Saccharomyces cerevisiae S288C: one gene and its partners. The gene in region 1 interacts genetically with each later gene. Each region holds a gene or a part of one and is shown in the gene's direction. Other genes may lie near its edges. The genes, in order: MRC1, SWC5, CSM3 and VPS71.

Evidence for each region.
Region 2: mutations in MRC1 (region 1) and SWC5 together harm fitness more than expected from each alone (negative genetic interaction), as found in Saccharomyces cerevisiae (5 studies listed by BioGRID, with this or other methods).
Region 3: mutations in MRC1 (region 1) and CSM3 together harm fitness more than expected from each alone (negative genetic interaction), as found in Saccharomyces cerevisiae (12 studies listed by BioGRID, with this or other methods).
Region 4: mutations in MRC1 (region 1) and VPS71 together harm fitness more than expected from each alone (negative genetic interaction), as found in Saccharomyces cerevisiae (6 studies listed by BioGRID, with this or other methods).

What each region holds. Positions count from the first base shown.
Region 1 is NC_001135.5:15,592-23,686, reverse strand, and holds MRC1 (chromatin-modulating protein MRC1), read left to right. Parts: upstream 1-1,580; coding exon 1,581-4,871; downstream 4,872-8,095. Other genes in the region: ADF1 (Adf1p), read right to left, coding at 1-103; FYV5 (Fyv5p), read left to right, coding at 1-164; ribosome biosynthesis protein KRR1, read left to right, coding at 308-1,258; VAC17 (Vac17p), read right to left, coding at 5,126-6,397; L-serine/L-threonine ammonia-lyase CHA1, read left to right, coding at 6,807-7,889. UniProt on the Saccharomyces cerevisiae protein: Required for normal DNA replication. Phosphorylated in response to DNA replication stress. Phosphorylation allows it to mediate the activation of RAD53.
Region 2 is NC_001134.8:679,512-687,036, reverse strand, and holds SWC5 (Swc5p), read left to right. Parts: upstream 1-3,946; coding exon 3,947-4,858; downstream 4,859-7,525. Other genes in the region: VHC1 (Vhc1p), read right to left, coding at 1-136; ARC40 (Arc40p), read left to right, coding at 445-1,599; DAD3 (Dad3p), read right to left, coding at 1,776-2,060; telomere maintenance protein PBP2, read right to left, coding at 2,368-3,609; COQ21 (Coq21p), read right to left, coding at 6,475-6,675; OM14 (Om14p), read left to right, coding at 6,987-6,997, 7,095-7,488. UniProt on the Saccharomyces cerevisiae protein: Component of the SWR1 complex which mediates the ATP-dependent exchange of histone H2A for the H2A variant HZT1 leading to transcriptional regulation of selected genes by chromatin remodeling. Involved in chromosome stability.
Region 3 is NC_001145.3:365,368-368,434, forward strand, and holds CSM3 (Csm3p), read left to right. Parts: upstream 1-1,613; coding exon 1,614-2,567; downstream 2,568-3,067. Other genes in the region: FG-nucleoporin NUP116, read right to left, coding at 1-1,338; ribosome biogenesis protein ERB1, read right to left, coding at 2,727-3,067. UniProt on the Saccharomyces cerevisiae protein: Forms a fork protection complex (FPC) with TOF1 which is required for chromosome segregation during meiosis and DNA damage repair. FPC coordinates leading and lagging strand synthesis and moves with the replication fork.
Region 4 is NC_001145.3:194,413-201,848, reverse strand, and holds VPS71 (Vps71p), read left to right. Parts: upstream 1-6,093; coding exon 6,094-6,936; downstream 6,937-7,436. Other genes in the region: YML040W (gag protein), read right to left, coding at 3,899-5,221; carnitine O-acetyltransferase CAT2, read right to left, coding at 7,049-7,436. UniProt on the Saccharomyces cerevisiae protein: Participates in the catalytic exchange of histone H2A for the H2A variant HZT1, an euchromatin-specific factor, leading to chromatin remodeling and changes in transcription of targeted genes. Indirectly involved in vacuolar protein sorting.

The sequences.
Region 1 (8,095 bases):
TTCTCTTCCTTTCAGCGGTGCTGATCGACCTCTTTTTTTGTACTTTCTTGCCAACACCAACATTCTTGCCCACACCTTTCTTTTTCATGCTACACTTGCCCATTTTTTCCTTGCTAAATGCCCTTGAGTTATTGTACCTTATTATAGCAGGCTTGCACATCTGAAAACGAAAATTTTTTTTTCCTTATATTTCTAATTCTTTTAGCGATGAGATATGAAAATTTTCAAAAAAAAGAGATGATGAGGTTAACTATTGTAAAGTAGACAGCAAACAAAAGGGTCACACAAATATCCAAATTGGCAAACGATGGTGTCTACACATAACAGAGATAAACCTTGGGATACGGATGATATTGATAAATGGAAGATAGAGGAGTTTAAGGAAGAGGATAACGCATCCGGTCAACCTTTTGCTGAAGAGTCCAGTTTTATGACTTTGTTTCCTAAATACAGAGAAAGTTACTTGAAGACGATTTGGAATGATGTAACAAGGGCTCTAGACAAACACAACATAGCGTGTGTTCTAGATTTAGTCGAAGGTTCTATGACAGTAAAAACAACTAGAAAAACATACGATCCCGCTATCATTTTGAAAGCCAGAGATTTGATCAAATTATTGGCGAGATCCGTTCCTTTCCCGCAAGCCGTTAAGATCCTACAAGATGACATGGCATGCGACGTTATTAAAATTGGTAATTTCGTTACTAACAAAGAAAGGTTTGTCAAGAGAAGACAACGTCTTGTAGGCCCTAACGGTAATACTTTAAAGGCTTTGGAACTTCTAACTAAATGTTACATTCTAGTACAAGGTAACACAGTAAGTGCCATGGGTCCCTTCAAGGGCTTGAAGGAGGTCCGTCGAGTAGTAGAAGATTGTATGAAAAATATTCACCCTATCTATCATATCAAGGAATTAATGATAAAAAGAGAATTGGCAAAAAGGCCAGAGTTAGCCAATGAAGATTGGTCAAGATTCTTGCCCATGTTTAAGAAGAGGAATGTGGCCAGAAAGAAACCCAAGAAGATCAGAAACGTCGAAAAGAAGGTCTATACTCCATTTCCTCCTGCCCAATTGCCTAGAAAGGTTGATTTGGAAATTGAAAGTGGTGAGTATTTCTTAAGCAAGAGAGAAAAGCAAATGAAGAAATTAAATGAGCAAAAGGAAAAGCAAATGGAAAGAGAAATCGAAAGGCAGGAAGAGAGAGCAAAAGATTTCATAGCTCCGGAAGAAGAAGCATACAAGCCAAACCAAAATTAGTTTACACCGCTACGGAATCCTTCATATATGTCTATATATATATAGAAACACACACACATTTCGTTTACTTAGATATGTTTGTAAAGTGAAAGAAATTCTTACTAGGACACCAACTCTACTGGCTCTCATATGCAGAGAGATATACATCAATACTTGAAATTTTCCTTATCCTTCTTCGACGCGTCATGAAGAGATAGAATGCGTAAAACGCGTTTGCTTCAATAGCATTTCAAACACATTATGTTGGAAAAAAACCAAGAACAGACAAACAACTAAGGAAGTTCGTTATTCGCTTTTGAACTTATCACCAAATATTTTAGTGATGGATGATGCCTTGCATGCTTTGTCCTCGTTGACTGCAAAGAAGAGAACTACCACCTACAAAAAAGTTGCTGTTCCCATACTAGATGAGAACGATAATACTAATGGAAATGGGCCCAATGACATAGACAATCCGCCAGAGTTGACTGGGAACGGGTTTTTATTTGCCAATGCCACATTAAATCGTGTTAAGAACAGATTAGAAGGCAAGAAAGCACCCGAACAGAATCACAATAATGGAAAAGATAGGAGTGAGAATTCGTTACCAACTCAATTAATCTCTAATCTTTACGATGGTGGTGAAGAGCTGGAGAAATCCGAAGTTAAAGATAATAGTTACAGTGAGAAAAATGTCTCTTCTTCATTCACGCAGACGCAAAGAATACCTGTCAGCATCCAACAAGACAAGGTGTTTAACGTACCTATCCATTCCGTTAATGACGGGAAACCCACCCAATTAATCAAAGAAGATGGTCTCGTCAACGAAACTTCTCAAGCGCTGAAAACACCTCTCACGACAGGACGGCCAGGGGCTACACAGCGTATAGATAGCAGCGGTGCAACCTCACAAACTCAGCCTATAAAATCAATTGAACCACAATCCCAAATAATTACGACTTCCAGCAATCATTCTAATGCTCTGTCGCCGAAAATTCCTATAATTCCAACGGAACTTATTGGAACTAGTCCTTTATTTCAGTCCATTCAAAATCGTGGTCCTGACACCCAAATGGATGTACCACCACAGACTGCGCATGATGAGGATAAGACACAAGCAATTGGTATTCCACAGGCTACGCATCAGGAACAGAAAACCCAAATAGATACAGTCGCACAAACACTTCAAGATGAAGTACCACACACATTAAAAATTCGGGAAATACAAAGCGAATTGGCTTCAGAAGATTCTAAAAGGGAAAAAGCTAGAAATGTCGAATACAAAAAACCGCAAAAGCCAATACCAACCAAAAAATTTTTTTCTAAAGAGTCTTTTCTTGCTGATTTTGACGATTCGTCCTCAAATGAGGACGATGATATAAAGCTGGAAAATGCACATCCAAAACCAGTACAGAATGACGATGAACTGCATGAGAACAAAAGTGTTGAATTAAATCTAACTGATGAGACAAGAATAAATGAGAAAAGGGTTCCACTATTGAGCTCCTATGCTAATAATTTGAAACGGGAAATTGACTCCTCGAAATGCATAACACTGGACCTCGACAGCGACAGTGACGAATATGGAGATGATGATATGGATAGCATTAAATTATCCAAAGATGAAAGCGTTTTGCCAATCTCTCAGTTATCAAAGGCGACTATATTAAACCTGAAGGCAAGACTCTCTAAACAAAATCAAAAGTTGTCTCAAAGGCCGAATAAAAGTAAAGACCCAAAAGTTGATCATAATGTACTATTAAATACCTTAAGGAAAGCTAGCAGGAAACAAATTCTGGATCATCAGAAAGAAGTGATTGAAACGAAAGGTCTGAAGCTGGAGGATATGGCCAAAGAAAAGGAAATAGTAGAGAACTTGCTAGAACAAGAAATTCTTAGAAATAAAAGAATCAGACAAAAAGAGAAGAGAAGGGAAAAACTTGAAGAAAATGACTTTCAATTGAACGCCCATGATTCCGGTTCTGACTCAGGGTCAGAGTCTTCTGGATTTGCATTGAGTGGTAATGAAATTGCCGATTATGAATCATCTGGTAGTGAAAATGACAATCGTAGAGAATCCGATAGTGAAAAGGAAGATGATGAAATTATTCTAAAGCAAAAAAAATCCCACCACGTGAAACATATCATTAACGAATCAGACTCTGATACCGAAGTCGAAGCCAAACCCAAAGAGAAAGCTGATGAAAGTCTACCGAAAAGGATCGCCATTAATCTGGGCCATTACGGTGATAATATCGGAGAGGATACCGACAAATTTCAAGAAACCAATGTTCTAGATACACAAAACATTGAAGAGGTGATGGCCGAAAGAAATACAATCGAAAATGAAGTCAAAGATGATGTATACGTCAATGAAGAAGCTGATGAAGCAATTCGCCGTCAGCTGATTGACAAAGAGAAATTGCAACTAAAACAGAAAGAAAAGGAGCACGAGGCTAAGATAAAAGAGTTGAAGAAAAGAGGTGTCACAAACTTCTTTGAAATGGAAGCCGAAGAATCCGAGGATGAATGGCATGGTATCGGTGGTGCAGATGGAGAAGGATCTGACGACTATGATTCTGACCTAGAAAAAATGATCGATGATTATTCCAAGAACAATTTCAATCCTCATGAAATCAGAGAAATGCTTGCCGCAGAAAATAAGGAAATGGATATCAAAATGATAAACAAAATTCTTTATGACATTAAAAATGGAGGATTTCGTAATAAAAGAGCAAAAAATAGCTTAGAGCTAGAACTAAGTGATGATGATGAAGACGACGTACTACAACAATATCGTCTCAAAAGGAGAGAATTGATGAGAAAAAGGAGATTAGAAATTGGCGATGATGCAAAGCTTGTTAAAAACCCAAAGTCGAGCGCATTTTTTGAAAGTATGGTGGAAGATATTATCGAATATAAAAACCCCTTCGGGGCTGAAGAGGAATATAACCTAGACATTACAAGTACGGCTACTGACCTAGATACTCAGGACAATAGCATTAATGTAGGTGATAATACGGGAAATAATGAACAGAAACCTGTAGATCAAAAGAACAAAAAGGTTATCATATCTGAAGACTTTGTGCAGAAAAGCTTATCCTTCCTAAAAAGTAATAATTATGAGGATTTTGAAACGGATAAGGAGCTATCAAGGATACAACATGGCAATGATGAAGCAATTGAAGATTTATATACCCTAAAACAGAATAGTTCGATAAAGTCATTCACAAATTCTCAAACTGATTCGACCACTTCAAAAACAGTAAACACAATAATTGACTTAGAAAAGCGCCCAGAGGATGAAGATGAGGTGGAAAATGGAGATACATCACTAGTTGGCGTTTTCAAACATCCATCAATAATCAAATCCTTTGCGTCCAGAACAGACATAAATGATAAGTTTAAAGAAGGTAACAAGACAGTCAAGATTCTAAAGTCTTACAAGACAGTGGGGAGTTCAAAAGCTTCTATCACATATATGGGGAAAACGAGAAAATTAATAGCACCAAAGAGGAAAACTGAAGGGAGCCACCGCTACCACCATGACCATCATAATAAAAAAATGAAAATGAAAACGAAAACAAAATCGAATAAACTTTTTGAAAGCGGACAAGATAGCTTTGATAATTAGTGGTTTTTTATCTTTTCCGAAGAAGTTGATTGAACTCCAGAAGCTGTCTTGAAGTAGTCGCATTAAAAAAGATGGCACCCGAGTCTAGGCCAAGCCATAGTCATGTTATGATAGGATTTTATAAGACAAATATTATAAAGAAGTTTAATAATAATACAAAAAGATACAAAAAAACTTGAAGATATTCTGAATAAAAAAAAAAAGAATAAACATTTGGAGCAAAAGAAGAGTAGGTTAGGTAAAGGAGGCATTAATTAAAACAGCAGTTCTGTATTCAAAGCATCTTGCAATTCTTCTATAGAGACGCTTATATCCATATTATTTTTTTGTTCCTGTGCTACATTATGATTTGATATTCGTTCTTCATTCATGCCCTTATTCTTTCTCCCCCTCTTACTTTGAAAAGATTCTGATATTGTGCTTAACGATGAATTAAACTTATCCATAAAAGATGCATGCTTAAGATTTGTGTTGTTCTCTTTTACCGTATGTGTATCTGATCGTGCAATGAATGATGATAACAACGCCTTAGAACTTGAAATACGAGGACCATTACGACTAGGAGCCATTGTCGCTGCAACAGTTGGATGACAGTTCACTTGGACATTTGATATCGAAGTTCCAAACGTCGGATTAGATGGCCTGAAGAATGAGGCGGAGAAACTTCCCAGATTGAGCGACTTAGAAGGTGCTGGTTTGTTAGATAGTATACTTTCGTGAGAGTTATATCTCCTTAAAGGTTCGAATTCAGCACCCTTTGCGGTCACACCAACATGTGGAGGGGTACTTATGTTTGGTAGAATGATAGTATCTTGATCAGAATCAAAATCTTCATCATCCATTTCATCAAAGAAGGTCAACGAAAGTCTTTGTCTATTTTTGAAGAAAGACTCATACGTATCCGAGGAAGACGGTTTCTTACTTTTGTTCAAGCCAGTATCATGTGATTTGGCTGCACGTAAAGTGCGATTTCTTGCAGGTTGTTTTTTAGGTGAGCACGGTAAAGAGTTAGTTTTCGAAGGACAATCGACTTCATTGATGGGGTTAAAGCCTACCGATTTTTTTGGTGGTTTCGATGGAGTTACCATACACAGACGTTGCCTCTCAATTATTTTCAATGGTCGAGGTTGAAATGACCCTAAACTACTTCTGGTGGATTGCGATTGTGGAGAATCATTAGGCGCTTCATTTGGGACGGTGGCCAGCTCGTTCAACCTCAAAGTGATATCCTGGAATTCACGAACCAAGTCTTCTATGCGTTGATGCTCATTATCCTCTGTGATCAATCTGCGTTGTTGTTCCTTGCTCAACTTGTCTCGAACAGATTCCGATCTAACATACAAAGAGTTCAGTTGAGACATATACTGGTTGTACTGTTGGGATAACTTATCCAATGACTCTTGATCTGTTGTCTGGCATATTGATGATCTCTGCTGACGTTGTATCCACAGATCTAATTGCAAGATAGCCTCTTGCGACCTTATTAAAAGCCTCTCCGTGATATCCTCTAGGGCTTGGGTTGCCATTAATCGATGTGTCCTTGTTTCCTTATGCGAGCTGTTTCTTATCTATCTTATGGTCCCATTCTTTACTGCACTGTTTACATTTTGATCAATTGCGAAATGTTCCTACTATTTTTCTTTTTCTCTTTTCGCGAGTACTAATCACCGCGAACGGAAACTAATGAGTCCTCTGCGCGGAGACATGATTCCGCATGGGCGGCTCCTGTTAAGCCCCAGCGGAAATGTAATTCCACTGAGTGTCATTAAATAGTGCCAAAGCTTTATCAAATTGTTTGCGATGAGATAAGATAAAAGGGACAATATGAGGAGGAACACAGGTATATAAATATCGCCAAATAAAAGGAAAATGTTTATACAGTTTTCTCTTTTTTAAGTGCTGGATAGACAAGAGACAGGAAAATTAACCAGCGAGATGTCGATAGTCTACAATAAAACACCATTATTACGTCAATTCTTCCCCGGAAAGGCTTCTGCACAATTTTTCTTGAAATATGAATGCCTTCAACCAAGTGGCTCCTTCAAAAGTAGAGGAATCGGTAATCTCATCATGAAAAGTGCCATTCGAATTCAAAAGGACGGTAAAAGATCTCCTCAGGTTTTCGCTAGTTCTGGCGGTAATGCCGGTTTTGCTGCTGCAACAGCATGTCAAAGACTGTCTCTACCATGTACAGTCGTGGTTCCTACAGCGACAAAGAAGAGAATGGTAGATAAAATCAGGAACACCGGTGCCCAGGTTATCGTGAGTGGTGCCTACTGGAAAGAAGCAGATACTTTTTTAAAAACAAATGTCATGAATAAAATAGACTCTCAGGTCATTGAGCCCATTTATGTTCATCCCTTCGATAATCCGGATATTTGGGAAGGACATTCATCTATGATAGATGAAATAGTACAAGATTTGAAATCGCAACATATTTCCGTGAATAAGGTTAAAGGCATAGTATGCAGCGTTGGTGGAGGTGGTTTATACAATGGTATTATTCAAGGTTTGGAAAGGTATGGTTTAGCTGATAGGATCCCTATTGTGGGGGTGGAAACGAATGGATGTCATGTTTTCAATACTTCTTTGAAAATAGGCCAACCAGTTCAATTCAAGAAGATAACAAGTATTGCTACTTCTCTAGGAACGGCCGTGATCTCTAATCAAACTTTCGAATACGCTCGCAAATACAACACCAGATCCGTTGTAATAGAGGACAAAGATGTTATTGAAACCTGTCTTAAATATACACATCAATTCAATATGGTGATTGAACCGGCATGTGGCGCCGCATTGCATTTGGGTTACAACACTAAGATCCTAGAAAATGCACTGGGCTCAAAATTAGCTGCGGATGACATTGTGATAATTATTGCTTGTGGCGGCTCCTCTAATACTATAAAGGACTTGGAAGAAGCGTTGGATAGCATGAGAAAAAAAGACACTCCTGTAATAGAAGTCGCTGACAATTTCATATTTCCAGAAAAAAATATTGTGAATTTAAAAAGTGCTTGAAAATCCAATAACTTTTTCGTTGAAGCATCAATTTGCCCTTGATAATTTTCATACATGTACTACATACATTTTACTCATATATCACTATTTTGCTAGTATTGATTTTTTCCAGAAGTATTAGTGTAAGATTTCTCGAAGTAAGCATCAACATATCCAAAACGTTGACATATTTCTAGGCCGGCAATGCACAGAATTTGTATAAAGGG
Region 2 (7,525 bases), on another chromosome or scaffold:
ATTCAGGGGTCGCCTGATAATTGAAATATGTTTGACTTATTCTCCTTGCAGACAACAGTGAAGAAGATTCATTTGAAGAAGATATTGCCGACGATGGCCGATGCGTACCTGGAATCTGATAAAACCTACTAACCATTAATCCTACAAGAAAGGCCTATTCTTAAAGAGAATTGGCTGGCAAAAACACTGTCTCTATCACTTCTTCGACAACAAGCACAACCATTTCTTAGATTTCCTTGTTACTCTTTAACAACAATGTTGATAATGAATCCTACGTTATCAGTTGCACAATTATCAAAATCTTCTTGTCACCCGCCCGCGCCTTGCCTATAATGAAAAAGGGTCAAATAAGAGCAATCTTGATCGAGAAAGCTTCCAGATTAGAAACAAAGAAAAATAGGAAAAATAAGCCGAAGTAAACGTATATTAGTTGAGAGTCTCCTAATGTCATTTTCCAATTCTAAAGACAAGTCCGTTGTTGCCGTCTACAAGCTGGTCAAAGCGCCAATCTACTCTCATTGCTTTTCTCAAGATAAATCTATTTTAGCCGTTACATGCGAAACAGATTGTCTTGTCTATAGAGTTTCAAACAACACACCTCCCGTTTTATTCGCAACGTTGAAAGATCATGATAAAACCATTACTGCTGTGGACATTTCCATACATGGTCGTATTGTGACTTGCTCCCAAGACCGTAATGCTTACGTTTGGGAGCCATTGAGTGATGGGACATACAAGCCCACGTTAGTACTTCTTCGTATTAACAGAGCAGCTACTTCAGTTACATGGGCACCAAATGGTTATAAGTTTGCTGTTGGGTCCAGTGCTAGAATCATCGCTGTTTGTTATTACGAACACGAGAATAATTGGTGGGTATCCAAGCACATCAAGAAACCCATCAAATCTACCATCAATTGCCTGTCTTGGCATGCAAATGGAGTCCTATTAGCTGCTGGTGGTACTGATGGGTTTATGCGTGTGTTCAGCGGGTTTATCAAGGGTTTGGATTCCAAGGAATCCGTCGCCGGATCACCCTGGGGCCAGAAATTCCCTTTTGGTTGTTTAATCAGGGAGTGGTATCAGGGTTCTTATATCCATGATGTGGAATGGAGAAGTCAGATGGAAAGAATTGCTTATGTAGCGCATGATGGTACTTTGAATGTTGTCGATTACCAATCTCCAGTGCAATCTGTCAATGCTCCGGAAGGTTTACCTTACAGGTCCTTAGTATGGATAAACGACCACGAGATTGTTTGTGGAGGATACTCTTGTCATCCGGTATTGTTCAGCGAAGCCTCTGAAGGCTGGAAATTTGCGAAGAATCTAGACAAATCAGACAATAACAAGTCTTCTGCCTTAACTGCATCTGGTAATACAGACGAGCTGAGTGGTAATAATGATGAAAGTTCAACTTTCGGTATTTCCGCATTGAGAAAGTTTAAAGAATTAGACTTGAAAGGTAAAGTTAGCACAGATGTCCAAGAAAGTGCACATGAAAACGCCATTGTGGAATTAAGACCTTTTGCGGAATCCAACGGCCAAATCACACAAGTCTCTTCCTGTGGGTTAGACGGTAAGATCGTCATTTATACAATTTAAATATACATACGTATATATATATATTGTTATGTGTATTCCCTACCTCATAATACACCTTGAGTTTGTATTGTTTTTTTCTTCACTTGGCATATACAGACTATATTATTACAACTCACAGCACAATGTAGTGTACCGTAAAAAATAAAGCATCAGAATCAATTTCTTGCACCAAACCATTATTTAGAATTGCTACCCAAAGACTCCTGTTCTTGCTTTCTTTGCAAGATAAGCGAGTACACGCTACCTTTTAGCAGTGTCCCAACTAAACCAATTTTGACCTCTATGTCCCTCATCTCCTGTAGTATCTCATCTGGCGATACAGTTTCTTGCTGTGAATGCTGTTGCCTGTGTTGCGAATAGTTTAGTTCTTTTATAGTTTCATCCAGAGCTTTTAGATCTAAAGAAAGCTGTTTGTATTTGTCCAATACTTCTTGCTGTAAAGGTGAAAGATTGTGTTCCATACTGTGACTACAACGCCGTGTATGTTTCACAGCGACTTTGACTGGCTACTGTAAGCTCTTCTTTTGTATTCTTTGGAATAGTTTATTTACATGTAATTACTGTAATAGCGCGCAGCCGAGCTAAAAAAAAAAAAAATACAAAGCTTTTGATCAATTTGTTACAAAGAGAAATAATTCCGCGTACGTATTTCTATTGATATTTATATATCTACATTCATTCAATTTATTACCTTTTCTTTTATTTTTTTTGCCTTTTGTAGTTTCTGTATTTTTATTTTCTATGTGTTTTTATTGACTAGCAGTATATTTAGAGGGGCGACCTTCTTTTACGTTCAGCATTTGATCTATCAATTTCAATTTTATTGCTAATCAACATAATAGCAGCTTGGGACGCCATGAACGTACCTCTTATGGTAAGTCTTCTCTCCGAAGAGCCTTCTACAGGATCTTGTATAATAATTGAACAACCTGTGGATTCCTTGACCGAATTTATGTGCTTGCCATCTTTGCCAATGACATTTCCGACAAATTTCTCATCTATGAATATCTCTTGTTGTACAAAGTTCATTAATAAATGGTTGCCGGGTGCCGGACTGATAACAGGGCCGTCTAAGACTGTCACATTAGGGATAACGAAGTTCGGTTGAAAGGCCGTTGCGTTTGCAACGCTAGCAGTAGTATACTGCGGTGTGGCCATACTCAACAAAGTAGATGATATTGGTAAATTTTTGTTGGGTTTGTATGAAAGTAGTTTATCGCTTGGATGATATTGGTGGTTTCTTTGATGGAAAATGGTGTTCGGTTGGCTATGGTCTATTAATACTGAGTTAAACTGAGTTGGCTGATAGTATATGGACCTTTTCACATTTTTCTGCGGAGATTCCATCTGAAAGTTTAGCAATGTTTGACTAATGTAGAAAGTAGCAATATGGATAGCATCCGGAACCCCGTTAATGGTTAAAATTCTATCGTTAGAAAGCAGCAATTGATTCGGGGACGCGAATAATTTTGCTGCACTCAAATCCTCAATTTCTCTTAACCGAGACCCACGTTTGCCAATTATACATCCCATAAGATGATGAGGGATCAATAGGTTGATAGAAATCTCAATGTCTTCCCCGTTATCTTCGTTACCATGTTCTTCAAGCAGCGCTCTTACTATCATGCCGTATGCCTTGGCTACATCATCGCAAGTACCCCTCACGTAAACAATTCTTTCAGGAACACCTCTGATATTATTTGATATGTTTATTCTAGCAGAGGTTTCGGATTTTATTCTAGATATAGTGGCGCCCTTGTGTCCTACTATCAGTGAAGCGTGTTTGACTAAGCACAGCATTCGTAAATGTACATCAGAGGGAACATTGTCGGGGGAATCGTGGTCGTTGTCAGAGTGGCTGTCTGCATCCTTCAGGGCCACGCGTTTGATTTCTGCTTCCAGTTGTTCCTCGCTGGTGTCTTCACCCTTTTTCCTTTTGAGCGTGTTGGGAGAAACGAGTACAGTAGTTGGTGTAGTAGTGATTGATGGTTTTGTAGTCTCTGTGGACATAATTGAGCTAAAGAGTATTACAGAAAGATTATTTAATGCCGCGCTGGACGATTAAAATTGTTAGAGTGGATGTGGCTATGGATAAGTTTGAATATGAAAAAGGTTACTTATGCGGCTAACGACTAGGTGCGTATTTATCGTTTGACGAGTATGTACGTGTTTTCTTTTGTATCATGATATTTCGTGTAAGTACCATATCGGGGAAAGACAAAAAAAAGTGAATTAAAGAGCGAAGTTTAAAGATGATGAATAGGATTAATCGACAAGTAAGAAAAAAGACGAAAAGGCGTAAACTGGAATAATATTGTTTCAAGAAAGAAAACCCACTAGCCTATAAATGCCAGAAGTAGAGACAAAGATTATACCAAACGAAAAGGAGGACGAGGACGAGGACGGCTACATAGAAGAGGAGGACGAGGACTTCCAGCCTGAAAAAGATAAATTAGGTGGTGGTAGCGACGATAGTGATGCCAGCGATGGCGGTGACGACTATGATGACGGTGTGAACAGAGATAAGGGTAGAAATAAAGTGGACTATTCGCGTATAGAGAGCGAGAGCGGCGGACTGATCAAGACTAGAAGAGCTCGGCAAGCTGAGGAAGAATATGCGAAAACACATAAGTATGAATCGTTAACTGTTGAATCGATCCCTGCAAAAGTAAACAGCATCTGGGAGGAGCTACAGGAAGCTAGTAAGAACCGTCTTTTGAGCAGTTCAGGGAAAGTCGGCTCTGTTCTCGACGGTTCCAAGGAGGCTAGGTCGACAACGGCCGCGCAACAGGAGGACAAAATCCTCATCGAAAGAAACTACAAGTTTGCTGGTGAAACTGTCCATGAGAAAAAATGGGTTTCACGCAGCAGTGCGGAGGGTCAAGAATATCTAAACAGTTTGAAATTTAAGCAGCAGGCGCCTGCTGCTCCTGTTCAACTGGAAAAAGCAGTTAGGACCAAGTCCAATGAAAGCCGGCAACACTTGCGACGGCCACTGAAAAGGCCTCCATTGTTGGAGCAGATCATTTCTGGCGGGCTACGACCCAAGCTAACGACATTAGAAAAATCTCAGCTGGACTGGGCTAGTTATGTAGACCGTGCTGGACTTAACGACGAATTGGTGCTGCACAACAAGGATGGGTTCTTGGCCCGGCAAGAATTTCTGCAGCGGGTCGGGTCTGCAGAGGACGAGAGATACAAAGAATTGCGCCGGCAACAACTTGCTCAGCAGTTGCAGCAGGATAGCGAAGCTTCATAGACAAATATTACATGTATTAAATAACATGCTTTTCTGCTCAAATTTTTTTAACCGCCGAGGCCTGCACACTTTCACTACGTGTATAACGATGCTGCAGACAAAGTAATGGGGTGTATGGGTGTGGGTGGCAAAAAAAACCTAGCAACGCTCTATGTTTCTTTTCTTTTTTCTTTCTTTTTTTTTTTTTGCCGTTTCCGATGGGCCACTCGGTGAAAACATATAAAAAGGGCTCTACATTCATTTTTTCATCGATGAGTACTTTACTTGTTATCAGATTTATTCATTTTGTTTCTACTTGTTTTTTTTTTAAATCCCCACGAATCTCTTTGCCTTTTGGCTTAGATCAAGTGTAGTATCTGTTCTTTTCAGTGTAACAACTGAAATGACCTCAATGAGGCTCATTACCTTTTAATTTGTTACAATACACATTTTTTGGCACCCAAAATAATAAAATGGACGGGAAGAGACTTTTTAAGCAAGTTGTTTTCCGCTAATGTCAGGTCTCACTACTTTTTGCTGCTATTTTTCTTCGCTCATGGTTTCTTCATAAGGCGTTTTTATGATGGTTTTTCGAAATTGGTTTTTGAGACGACGGTTGCTCAAGGTTATTGTTTTTGTTTTCTTCTGGTTGTTTTCTATTTTCTTTTTTTTAGCTTTCTGTTTCTCCCTTAGTTTGGCTTTTTGCTTCATACTCTTCCCTGTCTTTCCGAGCCGTTTATGTCCAACGCGGGATTTGGTTTTTCTTTATCGATGGGAAGAAATGGTGCTATAGTAGGTTGGGAGATAATATTTATGGTATGGGGTGCTAGTGCGGATGGGGCGCTCTTATTGTTGATTTCTTCGCTCGTCTTCTTTTTCTGGTGGCGCTGCAAGAGGAAGTTTTTCGACTTTGTTATGATTTTTGGTTTGCAAGGAAAGGTGTCTTACGATTCTTTTTTTGATGTAATAGGATAAGCTTGCTTATCCCCCAAGTATCGGCCAAAGTTGTTGATTTTCCTTTTGAAGTGTCCTCGGTTTGAGGGGGTGTAGGGTGGGGTTGGTCTACAATAAGAGTGTTCCATTGTTAACGTGCTGGCGTCTTTTACTATATTTTTTTTCCCAGTTTATTTTGTGCTTATTTTCTCATTGAGGAGAAGGAGCTCTTCTCGCAGGATATAAATGGAGGTTTGCTAAAGGGGAGGAGATGTGTTTGTGAGAATACTGCTGAGAGAGTTCTGGAAGAGAAAAAAAGGAGGCAATGGAAGGCGTTTGCTGGGAAAAGAGAAGAGCCATGACTGCATCTGTTGTTTCAAGGCCAGTTTTATTAACCGCCTATGTCATAGAGGCGTTTTTTTTGGAGGGATTTGAAGAATGCCGGCGGCATCAAGAAACGGACTTGATGGTTGACGCCTGTTTTTAAAGTTAGAGACGTCGCGACCCTCGCACTTGTGGAGTCGTTCTTGACTTTTACTTTGGTCGCTTGATGTTTCTCTCGTCTTCCCGTTCGCTCTTTTATTTTTTTATTTTTTTTTTCCTTTGACTTCGCATGAATGAGTTCATTCATGAAGCGAAAGGAGAGATTCTATATACCACGCAACCAAATATGTAAGTATATAAAATATATGTATGTGTGTGCACTAATTGGCGGCATACTCTTTCTTGACCCGTTGTGATAGGGCCTTAGCTGCTTCCCATTGCCTGTCCCGAGTCCAGCGACTCAAGACGTTGGACGTGCGCACGTACTCACACATGGCCGAATTGGCCCTTACGAATGAGCTCTTGGCTACCCCTCTTGCTGCACTCGCCACACACCATAACTGGTATAATTCGTTTCTCATGCTAGTCTCTTTTTTTTTTTTTACTTGTTTCCTTTTCCTTTGTTGCTTATCCGCTTTCTCGTTCTCTCCTCTGTTCTTGCCTCAACTCCTCAAATCTCTGCTGTCCCACTTACGTTTTATTTTTTCACCGTCCCCTTTCCCTGCCCTACTACCCCGGGCCAGCGGCCAATGACGCCGCCGCTACCTCCTCTCCCGTTAATCGTCCCTGCGTATATAAAGTGTCGATCAATGTGCCCACTTCAACCGAAACCGCCGACGTAACCCTATTCCAACAATTAGAAACATAACATCTACCTCCAGCATCTCATAATATGTCTGCAACGTATGTACACTAATATCTGAAACGTATCGCCTAATCTTTTCTCCCGGTTCTCTTTTGACTAACGTATATCATCTATGACCATCTTTCTTTTCCCCAGTGCTAAACACGACAGTAACGCTAGCCCAAATTCTGACTCTGAAGACGGTCACCACCACAACAATAAGAAGGAATGCGCTATCGAATATCTGAAGGCACGGTTAAATAGTGCATCAGCAGTCGCTTGCGGCTACCTCCAAGCTTTTGTCAGTAAGACGCAAGACTTTGCCAAAGTATGCTTTTTAGAACTTCAGAATCCCGTTGTCTTGGTCAACTTGTTGCTGCATTCTTCAGTGGTATGTTATTTATGTAACGGGTATGCGAACCACAACGCCAGATTCTTGAAGGGGAAACCTAACTCTACAGTCTTAGCAACAACCGCCGGCGCTCTGGGTCTTTTGACGCTGGACGGTATAATTTCAAAGAAATACTACTCCAGATACGACAAGAAATAATAACATACTATTTAATAACATCCTTTCACACACTCAC
Region 3 (3,067 bases), on another chromosome or scaffold:
TGCAGGTTTGCTTCCAAATAATCCGCCTTGTTGCTGTGGCTGGCCAAATGCGTTTGAGGAGTTTTGTTGTCCAAATAATCCGGATTGGTTCTGGCTTTGGTTATTCTGACCGAACAATCCTCCAGCGTTGGAATTTTGTTGCTGGCCAAATAACCCTCCTCCACTTTGCTGCTGATTGGTTTGCCCAAATAAGCCACCAGTGGTACCAGTGGGGTTGGTATTCATTCCGAATGCTTTTGAACCAGCAGATTGTCCAAATAGTCCACCAGAAGCAGGTTTAGCTCCAAAAAGAGCACCAGTGCCTTGCTGTTGGCCGAAAGCGCCACCATTTGCGTTAGCGTTTGATTGACCAAATATACCACCACTACCTTGTTGTGTTTGTTGTTGGGGAAAGGCACCACGATTCACCTGACCAAAGGCTCCCCCGTTACTGACATTATTCGCCCCAAATGAATTTTGCTGTTGACCAAATAATCCTCCGTTTGTATTTGAGTTCTGCTGGCCGAAAAGGCCTGTATTATTAGTGCCGTTTGTTGGGTTGTTAGTTGTATTACCAAACAATCCCCCGGAAGTGGCAGGTTTATTTGCTCCAAATGCAGAATTTCCTGAGAGGTTAGTAGAGCTTCCAAACAATCCTGTAGAGTTGGTCGCTCCAGAGCCAAAGCCACCACCACTTCCAGTTCCGGTTCCAAACATGCCTGTTGCTGGCTTTTGACCAAATAATCCTCCTGTTGTAGCAGAAGTAGTGGAGTTATTATTACCCATAATTCCAAATCCAGTATTGGTAGTTCCTTGAGGATTGTTAAAAGTAGTACCAGTGCCATTTTGACTGGTACCGAATTTTCTACCAGCTTGGTAATCTTGAAATCTCAATTCTTCAAAAGAAAAATTTCTGTATTCAGGCATACAGGTGATACTTTGGAAGACGTTGATGACACCTGTGGTTGGATCCTTCTCTTCGAATGTAGTAAAAGGTTTAATGCTTGTACCTGCAGTAGAATTGGGCACAACAGAAGCGGAACCAGCAGAAAGTGCTGTGTTATTACCCATTCCACCGAAGATCGAGCCAGAGGCATTGTTGTTCGTCAATTGACTTTGACCAAAAGGAGTACCATTTGCTGTAGTCGAGCCTGACATTCCGAAGGGAGAATTAGAAGTTTGGTTACCAAAGTTACCAAACGCAGGTGCTTGTGTTGTATTTGTTTGCTGACTGAGGCCGAAAGCAGAAGTGTTTGCTACTGGTTGTTGTTGTTGCTGTTGGCCACCAAAGGTTGATCCTGTTGAGCCAAATGGCTGTGTTGTTGCGCTGGGGAATGCGCCACGGCTAACTCCAAACATAATAATGTTTTAAAAAAGAAATCTTCGAAGCTGAATGGTGCCTCTCAGTTGCCGGGATCTCTATGCAATGCTGATAGTTTCCTTTGCGACCTTATGACACTTTATTAACTCTAAGTATAATTTAGTTTTGTTCTTTTTCTAATGAGCATGGTAAGGAAAAATGCCGGGTAATGATAATCTGCAAAAGTGACAATAATAAACTGACGCGTAACAAGATCAATGATATACTGGATTAAAATGCCATGAAAACGTGAACAGAAACTTTTATTGAGGTCATGGATCAAGATTTTGACAGTTTATTACTAGGTTTCAATGACTCCGATAGTGTCCAAAAAGACCCAACTGTACCAAATGGCTTGGATGGTTCAGTAGTTGATCCTACCATTGCGGATCCAACCGCAATTACAGCTAGAAAGAGAAGGCCTCAAGTAAAATTAACAGCCGAAAAACTACTCAGTGATAAAGGTTTACCATATGTTTTGAAAAATGCACATAAAAGGATACGAATTTCCTCAAAAAAAAACTCATATGACAACTTATCAAATATTATTCAGTTTTACCAGCTTTGGGCACATGAATTGTTTCCCAAGGCAAAATTTAAGGATTTTATGAAGATCTGTCAAACAGTAGGTAAAACAGATCCAGTTCTTAGAGAATATAGAGTCAGCCTTTTTAGGGACGAGATGGGCATGAGTTTCGATGTTGGCACACGGGAGACTGGGCAAGACCTGGAAAGACAATCACCTATGGTTGAAGAACATGTCACTTCCGCGGAAGAGAGGCCTATTGTCGCAGATAGTTTTGCGCAAGACAAAAGGAATGTAAACAATGTCGATTACGATAATGACGAAGATGACGATATCTATCACCTTTCTTATCGCAACAGAAGAGGACGAGTTTTGGACGAACGTGGGAATAATGAAACGGTACTTAACAACGTTGTGCCGCCTAAGGAAGATTTGGATGCATTATTGAAGACATTCAGGGTACAAGGGCCCGTTGGCCTTGAAGAAAATGAGAAGAAGCTCTTATTAGGATGGCTAGATGCGCATAGAAAAATGGAAAAAGGCTCTATGACTGAAGAAGACGTTCAACTGATTCAAAGTTTGGAAGAGTGGGAAATGAATGATATAGAGGGACAACATACTCATTATGATTTATTGCCAGGGGGAGATGAGTTTGGCGTAGATCAAGATGAGTTGGATGCTATGAAGGAAATGGGCTTTTAGCAATGTCATTGAAGGTAATAATCCAAACGTGCGTGTGGGCATCTATACATATAGGTTTATATATATTGTGTAAATAAAGCTTGTAGAAAGAGCCTGGTTCGAGTGTTTGATTTTTTCTTCTTGGGCGTTATTATACAATATCTACTTCAAATTATTTATCTAGGTGGTCCATAAGCGAGCCGTATTATCAGCACCGGCAGAAAACAGCCAAGCTTCCCTCGGATGCCAAATAGCATCAAGAACACCCAGACTATTGATTACTTTATGACCGGTTAGTTTCTTTAGTGGCACAATCATCGGATTTTTCATCATGTCATCATAAACAGTGGCATGGAAAACATGTATGGTACCGTCATCAGCGGCAGAGCTGAATAGAGGTAACTTTTTGTGGAAATTCACACTTCTGACGGCTTTTTCATGATATCTTAGTGTCTTGTAAGGTGTGCTAGCCAAATCCAGGTCGTGCCATAAAACTCTCTTGTCAAACGATGACGCAATTA
Region 4 (7,436 bases), on another chromosome or scaffold:
AGGTTTTGTCATCACATCAGCAATGTTCTTCTTGGTCTCGATGTAGTATACGTATAAATTATTACCTGATACTTCATCTCTAAGTCTCATTGCCTTTGTGCCAAAAAATCTGTTTCTAAATTTCTCTTCATTTGTAGACTTAATTATACTGATCGTTGATCTACTATCAGTAAGTAAGCCTTTAATAATTGGTTTCTTGTTAAGTTCTTGTATCAGGTAACTTAGATTATTTAATAATGGGACAGATTCACTTATCGCGTGTATTTCTGCTTCCGTAGTTGAAGTACATGTTAATGAAGCCTTGGTGGACTTTCCTCCAATTACCTTTCCATTAAGTAAATATATGTTGCCAATTTGTGATTTATAATACGGTTGGTTGCCATACGAAGCATCACTTATTGCGACTAGTTTATTATCTGGCTCGGTAGGTTTGTTTTTGTGCCATATCAGTTGTTTATCTCTAGTGTCCCACATGAATTGTATCAACTCATATGTCATGTCTAAAACTTGCCTAGAGGGGAATAGTATATGTTGAGCAAGTGTGTTGATGTAGTATAGTAAGTCAAATCTAAATTTATATCCAACATATGAAGCTAGACCAATCAACTTTTGCATTTCATGTACCTTCTCTTTGTATTCATCTTCATCTATTTCTAGTTCATCCTGGTCTATATAAAGACCTGGTTGACCTGGAGCGCTAAGTTTTCTTCCTTTTGGATTCAAAGGTACGTTTAATTTGGGTATTTTCTCAGTTAATGAGTTTTCCATACCTAATTTCATGTATTTACCTCTTTGATATTTGATTTCTAAGCCAAGTATGTCGTACTGAATTTCGTTATCACTTTCACCCAGATTTATTATCTTTGTATCGTATTGTTTCTTGAGTGTTGTTATGATTTTCTTATTTGCATTTAAGTCTTTGCTGAATAAAATCATGTCGTCAACAAATAAACATATTGTTACTTGACTATTCTTAAATACGCATGACCATCCACGAACTTCTTCCATACCACACTGTTTTATCAGGTATGATTTGATAGTTTCGTACCAGTTCGCTCCACTTTGTTTCAATCCATAAAGTGATTTCTTCAAACGTATCAACTTATCATTCATTCCTAAATGTGGTGGAGGTCTTATGTATAATTCTTCTTTGATGTCTGCATACAAATATGCCGAAGATATGTCTAATTGTGTAATATAGTAGTTATTGTCTAATGCAAGTGACAGGGATGTCATTAATGCATAGTGATGTACGGTATTGGATTGCATGCCTGAGTCGTAAGTGTCAGGATGCTGAATATCACCTCTTGCAACAAATCTAGCTTTATGAGTACCGTCACGTTTCTTGTTGAAGATAAACATTGAGTTTATTACTCTTTTAGGGTCTATTTCTTTTCTGTCATAATATTCGTCAGTGTCCCAAGTTTTCATCTTCAACAGTTGATTGACTTCTTTGTGGTATGCCTCGATATATTTTTCTTTTTCTTTAATATCTTTATTATAGGTGATTGCCTCATCGTATCGTAAGGTTGTCCGTATTGGTTTGATTGATTTTACTGCTTTTACAGCTGCAATCAGGTGAATTCGTTTCTTCGATCTCGGAGGTTCTAAACTACGCATATTCTTAGTATTCCATGTGTCTCGTGATACCTTAATTTCAGTTTCATTATCTTCTAATGATCTTTTCTTACTGTTGATAGTAGTATAGGCATTAGAGTCACCAATACCACCCAAACTGGAATTAGTTTGATGAGAATTTATCGGTGGGAGTTCTTTAAATGGGTCAGGGAATTCGGTAGGAGATTCTGGAGGTAGATCAGGGAGTGGGAGATCAGCGATGATAGATTCCTCGGTATTCTGTTCAGAAACAGTAGTTGGCGTTTTGATAGGAACAATATTGTGCGATGAATTATTTTCCGGTGGAGAAGCATCGATTGAAGGTGAACGGTGTATAATCCTTTTCTCAGTCTCTTGGTCACTTATCTGCGGAACAGTTTTGTTGTTGGTACCACCCGTACTGGATATTGGTACGTTTGTATGATTAGTCTCATTTTCACTGTACGAGTCTGAGTGTCTGAAATCTTTAGATTTACTGGCGTGCGACGACTCATGTGTGTTAGATTGGGACATGGGAGCAAGTAAAGGAACATTTAATTTATGCATACCACCCGAACCGGTACTCTCGATATTGGAAATTTGGGGGGTGCTAGATCTCTTCTTTGATGGAAGAATATTAGATTCAGATATGTTGGGGTCAACTTCTCTGGGTGCGCGAATATTGGTTTTAGAAACACGTTTCGAATCTTCAGTATGAGTTGACGGAGGTGTGGAATCGGTTGGACTCACAGCTTTTGAAAGGACATTTCTCGGTTGCTCAGGATGTAGTTCGATGTCAGATTGGAAGTCATGGTCAGATTCTATGTTAAGATCATCGGATTGTTGGATCTCATTTGACGCAATGAACGATTGATATGAAGCAGTTAAACGGTTTAAGTCTTCATCGAAAGTGAGTGCGTCGTAATTGAATTGATCTAATCTGGATTCCTTGCCCTGAAGAATAACATAGTTAGTTGTATCTACTGTCTTCTTTAAGGATGGAAGATAGATGATATATCCATAAGAGTTTCGAGACGGATGTAGAGCGTAGCCTGGGATGCCACGAGGATGTATTTTGGAGTTAGGGTTGTGATCATTGACGATAACAGGTTGACCGAAAGGTAACAAAGTACTGATATCAAGTCCTGCCAAGCCAGCATGTTGTCTTGCAGATTTTTTGCTTTTAGGTGAAGCTAGTGAATTTCTCACAATAGTAGAAAATTCGATTGCAGAGAACCATAAATGGTTCGGTAAACCACTACATTGCAGTTGAGTACGGCAGTCATCTAATAAGGTACGGTTGAGCCGTTCAGCGACTCCATGTGCTCGGGAATCCGCTGTGGTTGTATAGCATGGAGTTATACCATTTTTTTCAAGGAATTTATGGAGAGTTCTGTTAGTATACTCAGAACCACGGTCCATTTGTATAACCAAGACACTGGCCTGAAACTGGTTCTTAATAAAAGCTAGTATCGTAGTAAAAACATCGAGGATAGAGTCCTCGCGACGGTCGTGTAATGGATAAACCCAACGGAATTTTGTTGTCTCATCAGTAAATGAGATGAAATAGGATGGTGCACTTTTTGGTAGGTTGTGAACTGGACCAAATATGTCAGTATGTAGGTATTGAAAGGGTTCGTATGAATTTTGGTATTTTAGTCGTGAACCTTTGATATGTCTGTGTTTGGTGCTTTTGCCGATTAAACAATCAGGACATTGATAGTCAATAGCACTAGACCTGTCGACATCTGATTCGTTAAAATACGTGATGGTGTTATTTTTAAGTGAGTATCGAATTGTCTGTGCATTGGCATGTGCAAGCATTCGATGAATGAAAGGATAAGGATATTTGCGTGTACTTTCACTTGTATGGACATTATTGATGGTGGGTACGGAGATATTTGATGGAAGCAAGTACTTTTTAGATACCCAGTAAAAGTCTCCATATTTTACGATAGGTGCAAGTACAGTGCCGTCAGATCGTTCTAAGACGTTTTTGGTAAAGCATGCTGTGATATCTACTGCAGCCAATTCATTCAAACTGAGTAAGTCATAGGCTATGTTAGGAGTGTGCAATACCTTTATTGATGTTTTGGTGTTGTCCTGGAAGTGAAATTGTAGGTCACCAATAGCGTTAATTGGTATATTTCTTTTTTGAGCATCAACTACGTTTATGTCAGGATTAGATGATGCTGAGTGTATGTGATGAGCAGATCTTATAAGGGTTCGTGATGCTCCTGAATCGAGAAGGAGGTGTCCAGGGAGTTCATCATCAGAATGATTAGTGTGATTTACCGTAGATTCAGTAAGTTCCTGGCCTAAGGTGAAGGTCGTGCTTATTGTTCAATTGAATCGGTTCAGTAGTTGATTTACTGATGGAATCGTTGTCCGTGCTGGGAGAGTTATTAGATGTGGATACATTGTGAGCCCTGGCTGTTTTCGATTTCGAATTATTTGTTTTTTGAGGATTCCGAGCTATAACTTTGGGTTTGGTTGTATTCGTATAGCTGCGAGAATCATTCTTCTCATCACTCAGATTTCTCCTGTAATTAGGTTTGCTGTTTCTCGATCCCTGTTGTTCTTCATAAATAGCATGGATATCTAAGAACAGTTCAGCGACTGTCATATTTAGATGTCGATGACGTGTGTAGCGTAAAAATTTATATTCGCCAGATAGACCTCTCATAATTAATTGGCATGCGACCTTGTTATTGATATGAATGCCATTATTGTTCAGTCTGTCGATAATGTTTGTGACTTTTGTTTCAAATGCATCTGCAGGTGTACTGCCATTATATTGCAAATTTGCCAGGGTCACAATGTCGTTTGCCTCTTGGGTATCAGATTGCATTTTTTCAATACTTTTGGAAAGAATTTTCATGATATCCGTATAATCAACGGATAGGATGTCTTTGACCCAGGTAGGTAGGAATTGAGAGGGAGCAAATATTTGAAAAGTGTTATACAAGAAGGTGAGTTCATCATCAGTGATCTGACGTACGGGTTTTCCGTTTACTGTCGGAATAATACCACCGAGATTCGAGTTTTGTAAAAATTTGATGTATGTTTTAACCCAATTTGGAAAGTCATTAGGTGAGGTTAACATTGGTGGTGGTCTGACATATTTTTTAGTGGATGTCATATCAGAGTCCGCTGAGGATGAATCAGTAAATGTATTACCTGACTCAGGTGATGGAGTGCTCAGAGGCGTTCCAACTGATGATGGATACTGCGGAAACTGTGATTGTGGCCCAGGTGGAAAGTACATAGGCGACATTTGATAAGGTGTATACGGAATCATAGATGGGTGTCCGTAAAATGACCAACCAGATGGATTGGCTTGGTTTTGGGTCATCATGCACTGCTGTGGGTACGGCCCATTCTGTGGAGGTGGTACTGAAGCAGGTTGAGGAGAGGCATGATGGGGGTTCTCTGGAACAGCTGATGAAGCAGGTGTTGTTGTCTGTTGAGAGTTAGCCTTAGTGGAAGCCTTCTCACATTCTTCTGTTTTGGAAGCTGAAACGTCTAACGGATCTTGATTTGTGTGGACTTCCTTAGAAGTAACCGAAGCACAGGCGCTACCATGAGAAATATGTGAATGTTGAGATAATTGTTGGGATTCCATTGTTGATAAAGGCTATAATATTAGGTATACAGAATATACTAGAAGTTCTCCTCGAGGATATAGGAATCCTCAAAATGGAATCTATATTTCTACATACTAATATTACGATTATTCCTCATTCCGTTTTATATGTTTATATTCATTGATCCTATTACATTATCAATCCTTGCGTTTCAGCTTCCACTAATTTAGATGACTATTTCTCATCATTTGCGTCATCTTCTAACACCGTATATGATAATATACTAGTAATGTAAATACTAGTTAGTAGATGATAGTTGATTTCTATTCCAACAACTAGTAACACGAATACTACTAAACAAATGATATTTTAGAGTTCCATTTCAACATTATGCACTCAATATTCATTATTGTTGTTAAGGGCTTAATATTGTAGTTGTCAGAAAACTTTTACTATTCGGTGATTCCTTAGTGGCTAAGATTCACAAGTTCACAAGGGCGTGTGGTCTAGTGGTATGATTCTCGCTTTGGGCGACTTCCTGATTAAACAGGAAGACAAAGCATGCGAGAGGCCCTGGGTTCAATTCCCAGCTCGCCCCTTTTTTTGATATTTTTTTTGGAGTATTACAAAAACGACCATTCATTAAGGAAGTGAAGTCGGTGGAATAGCTAGAGAGCTTATATTTATTTAGTCGTTGCTTTATGTAACGAAGCAATCAATAAAATATTTGTGTTCTGTAGAAATAACTTTGATCCGGGTAATAGATAATTAATAACTACTTTTTTTATAATGAACATGATGATCTTTGTGAGTATTAACAAAAGTCGAAGCGGCCCTTTCAATCTATAGTAACGTCGATATCATTGATAGATCGAAGAAAAAGAACGGATCGCTTACTCATAACAGCGAAATGAAGGCGCTAGTTGAAGAGATTGATAAGAAAACTTACAATCCTGACATATATTTCACGTCATTGGATCCTCAAGCACGTCGATATACTTCAAAGAAGATTAATAAGCAAGGCACAATATCCACCTCTAGGCCCGTAAAGCGCATAAACTACTCACTGGCAGATTTAGAGGCCAGGTTATATACTTCGAGATCTGAGGGAGATGGCAATAGTATAAGCAGACAGGATGACCGAAATAGTAAGAATTCCCATTCATTTGAAGAAAGGTACACACAACAAGAGATTCTCCAGTCGGACAGGAGGTTTATGGAACTTAACACAGAAAATTTCTCGGATTTACCAAATGTACCGACTTTATTAAGTGATCTCACAGGCGTACCACGAGATAGAATTGAATCAACAACCAAACCGATCTCACAGACCTCGGATGGTCTCTCTGCATTAATGGGTGGTTCTTCTTTTGTAAAAGAGCATTCCAAGTATGGTCATGGTTGGGTGCTTAAACCAGAAACCTTACGGGAAATACAATTATCGTATAAATCTACAAAACTACCTAAACCAAAGAGGAAGAATACCAATCGTATTGTGGCGTTAAAGAAGGTTTTAAGTTCAAAAAGAAATTTACATTCGTTTTTAGATTCTGCGCTGCTAAACTTGATGGATAAGAATGTCATTTACCACAATGTTTACAATAAACGATACTTCAAAGTGTTACCCCTAATTACGACATGCTCTATTTGCGGTGGCTACGATAGTATTTCAAGTTGCGTTAATTGTGGAAATAAGATTTGTTCTGTAAGTTGTTTTAAATTGCATAATGAAACTAGGTGCAGAAATAGATAGTAATGATCAGTATGTATTCGTAAGCCCTTTTTTCTCCCCTATTTATACGTATGTAAGTGTAGATACTTAACAAAAATATTCACAAATTAATTGAAGAGGAAAGGTGAAAAATTCATAACTTTGCTTTTCGTTTATTCTCATTTTCCAAGGCGTCAAAAATTTCATCAGCAGCTTGAGATAAATAATAGTGTAATCTGTTAACACTGGCTCCACTCTTGGCTGGTTTGTTGACAATATTGATATGCAGCCACTCGTTATTCAACATGTATGCCAGTCCAAACCCGTTGTCATTTACTTGAGACCAACCATAACCGTCAAAATATTCCGAAGATAGTTGAGATGTGGAGATCAACCAAGTTGAAGAATAATTAAATAAGGGATCTTTGAAAAGGGGCGGAATTTGGTCATCATTAGATTTTAGCATATTCTTTAGACCGAAGAAATGACGATCGACACCATTACCATTTGCAGCATTTTTCAGGTACGTAGAATGCTCTTTT